Coturnix japonica: one gene and its partner. The protein of the gene in region 1 interacts with the protein of each later gene in a pairwise test. Links are inferred from orthologs where the notes say so. Each region holds a gene or a part of one and is shown on either strand. Other genes may lie near its edges.

Region 1 (2,630 bases):
AATCAACCCCAGGGGAGCGAGAGCACTGGCAGAGGTCGTCCGCGGGGCGGGTGGGTGCTGGCGGGATGCTGACGGATGGGAAATGGCTCTGGAGGAAACGGTGGTGGCAGCCGTGGGCCTCAGCACGATACCTCCATGGTGTGGTTGATCTGCCCCATGGCCTCGCTGCTCTCCGAGTGGGTACAGGCACGTGGTCGGGCACCTTCCACCGAACTGGCGCTGGTGAGCGAGGCTGTACGGGAGCGTGCCAGGCGGGTCATGCTGGCGGACGGCACTGCAAGGGCACAGAGAGGGGGGCTGGGTGCTCGGCCAGGAGGGGCTGGGCCGACACTGCCTAATGCAAGCAAAGCTGCTGGCCTGGAGCTGGCCCCACTCCCCAAGGCAGATGGCCCCAGGCACAAGCTTGCAGCATGCAGTGCCACAACACGAGCAGCTCCGTGCTGGCAGAGGATGCGGTGCCCCAGCCAATCCCCTGGGCAGTGAGGCAGTGGGAAGCCCCAGCCACCGTGCTCCAGGGGGTGTGAGTGGGGATGGGAGCGTTCCCTGCTCCCCAGGGTGAAGGTGGACCTTCCTCCAGCATAATGCACCGCGGGCACAGCTCCTGTTGTGTGGAAGAGCACGCGGTGGGCATGCTGCCTGCATGGGGACACTTGTCTGAACGCCAATGCTCAGCCCGCAGCCCTGGCTCAGGGTGGGGGCAGCCCAACGCTTTGGGCAAAGCAGAGCAGGGCAGAAGGCACCGCTGGGGAAGGGCAGCCCCATGCCCAGGCTGCTCCCAAAGGCACCCAGCAGTGGCAGGGCTCAGCGCCAGGAGGGCACCATGCAGCGGTACCTGCACCTCCACTCAGCCTCCGATCCTTCAGGTGGGCGACTGGCGGGAGCAGGAGGAGGAGGAGGGCAGAGAGAGAACATCAGCTGCAGCGGGGGCTGCACAGGGACACAGGGCTCCTCCTGACCCATGTGCGTGCACACATCTGTGTGGGTGCACACGGACCCGCACACACACACACACACACACACACAGTCCTCTTACACACACAGCCTGTTCACCCCACACCCCAAACACATGGATGGGCACCTTGTACACACACAGCACTAGGGACACATTTACAGCCCTCCTTCAGGATGGGCACACGCATGTGCCAGGCTGCTCTGTGGCACACACACACACACACACACACGCACACACACACACACACACGCACACACACACACACACACGCACACCCAGGCAGCCCCATGCCCAGCCCTGGCACTCACTGTAGCCCATGCCTTGCAGGAAGTACTTGAAGGCTTCGGTCAGCTTGCCGGGCTGCAGGGAGAGAGAGAAGGAGCTGCACAGCCCCACACCAGCACCAGGACCCCCGTGGGACTCCTGTGCCCACATCAGCCCATCCCTTTATGGACAGGGGCCGCACCAGGCCATGTCTCAGGGGCTGATGGAGGACACTCACCTGTGTCACCTGGGGCAGCCCACCAGAATCTGCCATCTGCACAGAGAAGGTCCCGGTTAGTTCGAGGGACGCCTTTTCCCCCACCCCAAACCCTGGTGCCCACTGGCAGGATCCTACTGCCAGGTCACCCTGCTCACTCCAGTCCCATATGGACCTCGGGCTGGGAGACAAGGACAGCCTATTGCTGCAGGGCAGTGAGGGCCGCACTGCTCCCCCCATCACCCACTTACCTTCAGAAAAGTGGTGTTTGTGGGATCCAGCTTGGAATTACACTCCACCTGTGGGTGAGAGGGACAAGAACTAGCACCATGGGGTGTCCCACGTCTGGCAGAAGCTGCCCACAGGTACCACCTTTGGTCCCAGCACTGGCACATCCCACCCCAGGCAACCACATGTGCCCATGTGCCTGCAAGCATGGATGCCTACAATCACTCACCACACCCTCTTCAGCGGGAGCGTTGTCTCCCACCACCAACATCACAGGGCAGCTGGAAATGAGAGAAGGAACGGGCACAGTCAGGGCTCGGGCTGGGCTCCTTGCCCTGGGCGGTGCCTGTGCAGCTCTTACCGCAGTGTCTTGGCGTTGGGCACAGTGCCGGGCCGGTTGATGTCGAGATCCCTGCGGCTGCAGGAGGAGAGAGAACCAGTGTGAGCATGGAGGCAGGCACAGAGCTGGGGTGTGCCCAGAGAACGGCCCTGTGGAGCCCTGGTGTCCCAGCACACTGTGATCCCCCAGCACACTGCTCCCCTCCCTTCACTCCCAGCTGAAGATGGCAGTGCTGCTGGGTGCTGCTCACCTGTTGTACATGTTGAGGAAGAGCTGGAGGTTGAACTGGTTCACCACGCTGCCAATCTGCTGCCTGTAACTCTGCACCAGCTCCGTGTTGTTCACCAGCTCCTCCTGCAGCGGCAGGAGACAGAAATCAGGGCCAGGGCCACCAGGTGCCCATGCCTTGCCCGCTGACAGCAGAGCAGAAGGATGAAGGCATGAGTCTCACCCAGCACCGGGTAGGGCTGAGCCCCACATCAGGCAGGAGGGATTCAGGCAGGGCTTTGCCAAGCCCATCCCCAGCACCACAGCACCCAGCACTTGGGGGTAGGGCACAGCCAGGCTGGGATGCTGTGGGGACAGGCGCAGGCAGAACGCAGGGCAGGCAGCCCTTACCTGGCTGAACA
Region 2 (3,749 bases), on another chromosome or scaffold:
CAGGGCTTATAGGAGAGGGGGTTATAGGAGAGGGGGTTATAGGAGAGGGGGTTATAGGAGAGGGGCTTATAGGACCGGGGCTTATAGGAGCAGGACCTGGGCTATGGGATATGGCTGTTACATACAGACACGCTGAGCTGCGGGGTGACTTGGGCAGCCAGCCGGGCTCTGCTGCTGAGCAGAGTGTGTAGAACTGCTCCAGGAGGCGTAGGAAGAAGAAAGATAAAGAGAAGGGCCGGGCTGCCATCACTGTGGGGATATGGGGTGGGATACAGGAGGGGTGTGGGGCACTGAGAGCTGCCCCATGATGAGGGTTGGACCCACGTTACCTTCTCTAGTGATGGCAGAGGCTGCATCCAGTGCTTTGGTGCTGAGGTCGCTGAGCACCGAGTCCACAGCACGGTGGTGTTTGAGGAAGCAGGGTCGGATGATGCTGTGATAAAGCACTTGGGAGCCATTCCAGGACACTGGGGCCATGCACCACACCAGGAACAGGCACTATAGGGGAAGAGATGCTGCAGAGCTGGATTGTATGGGCATCCCAGTACTGCCAAAGGTGCCCAGAGGAAGCCCCAGAGCTCAATACATGAACCACAAGAGCTCAGCCATCAAAGGGGGGGTCTCCCCTGTGCCCCCATGAAGTCGTTACCTTCCCAGCATAATAAAAGGGGAACCAGTAGAGGAAAATGTCAGAGAAGAACTCGGCTATGCTGAAGACACCGTACACCACCCAGTATGTGAGCCACGTGGTGTCATCCTCCTTGCTGGAGCTCTCGATGGCTTTGATGCTATGGGATGGAGGACATCAATTACTGGTTTGTTCCCATATCTCCAGGCCTGGCAATGAGCCCCATAACAACTCCCCAGTGTTTCAGGAGTGACCATCCAGAGCTGTAGGGTCAGTACTTACGAGACATATGCAGGGTAGGCAAAGCCAATGAGGTTGCAGACCAATGAGGCACCGTAGCCAAACACCAGGTACAGCCCCACGAAAGCCAAGGAGCCTGCAGGATAGAGCCAAGAGTTCAGCCACCCCAATGGTGTCTCAGCTCCTGCTTAGCAGCAGCTTAAGCACCTTATCCTACAGCAGGGCAAGAGAGCTGGGACTTAGCCTGTCTGTGGCAGTGAATCAGAGGGAAGGGGCACAGAGGACACAGGGCTCATCCCTGTGCTGCTCACAGCAGCAGATCTGCTCCATGCTCTGTGCTCATATGGGCACCTCTGGGCTTTGCAAAGGGAGCTGGGCGCTGTTCCCAGCTGGTGGGAGCAGTTACAGCTTCCCCCTCCAAGGGAAATAAGCAGGCAGGTTCAGGCAGCTCCGGGTTTCATTCCCTAAAGAGCCTTAGAATGGATTGCACAGGCTAAGTTTAGCCCCGGAGAAATTTATGTAAGAGCAAAACACAAAGGAGAGGCTCAGCTTTGAACACAGAGGAGCCTTGTGTGAAGGAGGGCAGGAAGGAGACACATCCCGGGGTCCTAAACCCACAATGTGAACACAGGAGGAGGAGGAAGGGATTCTGTGTCCTATGGGTCCTGATCAGGCTGGTGGAGGAGCTGCTCCAAGGCTCCCACACCCAGAGCCCCATCTCTGCCTCCCATACAGGACAGGAGGTCAGTGAAGCCTCATCTCTGCAGCACTGAATGGAGAGCTTGGCAAAGGTTTATCCCCATCCACAAGCAGATGTGGCACAGAGGGGATGCTGTCCTCCTCCTTGGTGCCCTTTACCCTTTACAGAGGCAGCTGTTGGGTCTGTGGCTGCTTTATAAGATACCGAGCAGCCCCTTCTGGGCTGAGGGATTGCTGCAGGGTGGGGGGGAAGGGAGGAAGAAACCCGATATTTGTTGTTGAGCATCAGCTTCTCCTTTCCAGACATCGGAGCTGAGCTGCAGGAACAACAACTCTGCTCTATCCCTGTCACCCACAGCCCAAAGTGCAACCAGAGCCCCAGAACCAGCGCTCCAAACACGTGTCAGATCCCAGCAGAGCAACCAAAGCTCTATAGGAGCCGTGGGGCCAGGAATCAGGCTGGGGGCACAGCAGGGAAACCCAGACCCCCCCCCCCCCCATAAGGAGGTTCCATATGGCAACGTGGAGGCAGATGGCAAGTCATAAACGCAGCCAAGGCACAGAAATGGCCAAGGTTGAGGTGACAGCCTCACCGAGGGGGTCAAACGGTGCCGGGATCGGCTCCGTGGGGAGATATCACTTGTTTCTCGTTAATGAACAAACAGCAGCTGGTTAACGAACAGACCTCTGCCCTCCTGCTGGGGGTTGGGGGCTTGGTTCCATGCTACAGCCAGGCTTCCATAGGGCAGGGGGATGTGGGGAGCAACACTGGGCAGGGCAGGGCTCTGTGAAGCCCACCATGTGGGGCTGGGATCGAAGGGGGGGAAGAGGAAGACACCCCCTCCCCTAAATAACCAACGGCTCCCCTGGGCAGCTTCCTCCCTTCCCCAGGGTGGGCAGTGTGGGGCTGTCAGCGCAGCACGGGGCTGGGGGGGGACCCGGAATAGGGGGAGGGGGCTGAAGGGGACCCGGAATAAGGGGAGGGGGCTGGGGTGGACCCGGAATAGGGGAAGGGGGCTGAAGGGGAAGGGGTCCACGCGGTGGGGCTGCGGGCTCACCTGTAGCCAGGTAAAACCGGCGGACACCGGTCCGGGCTTCCAGGCGGCCCAAGAGGTCGGAGATCGGTCCGGGTCGGTCGAGGAAGCGCTGCAGGCGCTGCTGGACGGTCCCCATGGCTGCGGGCCCCGCTCGGCCCTATGCGGTCCCGGTTCTGTGCGGGGCGGAGCGGGGAGGGACGGGCAGGTGGCGTCTCCAGCTCTATGGTAACGCACGCAGAGCGCAGGGCATGGCGACACCGCACGGCATAGGGGGGGCGTGGGGGCTGGGGGTGTTATTGGGTGTGGGGCTGGGGGTGGGTTTGGGGCTCACAGCGGGTCCGCACGACGCTCCGAGCAGCGTTTATCTGAGCAGCTGGGCTGTGTTGGTCGCGGAGGGGCAGAGGGATGCGGGGCTGTTGGCACAGCGGTACGGGCTGATCTGCGTGGGGCAGGTGAGGTCCGACCCGCTGTAGGGCTGTGTATGGGGTATATGGGGTCCTATAGGGCTGCACAGCTACCTGCTACAAGCATAGGTAGGAGAGGGAGCCCGTGCATGGTGCAGAGCAGCCCCTTTTCCAGCACCATCGTGGTGCAGGGAGCCTGCTTTGGCAGGGGAATGCACTCAATGACCTCTAGAAGTCCCTCCCAGCCCCTACAGTCACTCCATGATCCCAAAGCATCCTTCCCACCCTGCAGCCCAGCAGACTTTGAACTGGCATCCCCCCCCCCCCATTTCTTTCTGCCCATCTCCATGCAGCCCCCTGAGCTCAGCCCTCACTGCAGGTGCTGGATGGAGAGCCCTACTATCACTTCCAACACCGTGGCTCCAGGCAGACATCCCTGAGCAGGCACTGGGGCTGGAGCCTGAGGCTGAGCAGGGAACCACAGGTAGGGGCTGGGCTGCACATTAGACCAGGGCACCCTTATGGGAACACACATAGTGCCAACAACGCTGCTTCCCACCCAGGTTCTTTGGTTTGAGCAGCAAACAGTGAAGATCAGAGCCAAGAGGAGCATCAACGTGGTGCCCACAGACCCTTGGTTCCCCAAGCAGTGGTACATGGTGAGATGGTGCTGCTCTCCCATCTAATCCCAATGTCCTCAATCACCTGCCCTGAGCATAAGCAGGACTAATGCCAGCAGTG

What was found. The genes of interacting proteins can lie anywhere in the genome.
Region 2: the proteins of NDRG4 (region 1) and REEP6 interact in binary tests that used the Homo sapiens proteins (3 or more experiments, as listed by UniProt). The two-hybrid records come from large-scale screens. The link is inferred for Coturnix japonica from reciprocal best matches to the Homo sapiens genes NDRG4 and REEP6.

Annotation. Positions count from the first base shown.
Region 1 is NC_029526.1:2,093,100-2,095,729, reverse strand, and holds part of NDRG4 (protein NDRG4), read right to left. Parts: coding exon 2,620-2,630; intron 2,356-2,619; coding exon 2,252-2,355; intron 2,080-2,251; coding exon 2,023-2,079; intron 1,943-2,022; coding exon 1,891-1,942; intron 1,733-1,890; coding exon 1,685-1,732; intron 1,491-1,684; coding exon 1,455-1,490; intron 1,313-1,454; coding exon 1,261-1,312; intron 872-1,260; coding exon 833-871; intron 275-832; coding exon 120-274; 3' UTR 1-119. UniProt on the Homo sapiens protein: Contributes to the maintenance of intracerebral BDNF levels within the normal range, which is necessary for the preservation of spatial learning and the resistance to neuronal cell death caused by ischemic stress.
Region 2 is NC_029543.1:2,273,131-2,276,879, forward strand, and holds REEP6 (receptor expression-enhancing protein 6), read right to left. Parts: upstream 2,741-3,749; coding exon 2,626-2,740; intron 1,005-2,625; coding exon 911-1,004; intron 789-910; coding exon 650-788; intron 499-649; coding exon 330-498; intron 194-329; coding exon 102-193; 3' UTR 87-101; downstream 1-86. Other genes in the region: PCSK4 (proprotein convertase subtilisin/kexin type 4), read left to right, coding at 2,739-3,056, 3,388-3,492, 3,572-3,667. UniProt on the Homo sapiens protein: Required for correct function and survival of retinal photoreceptors. Required for retinal development.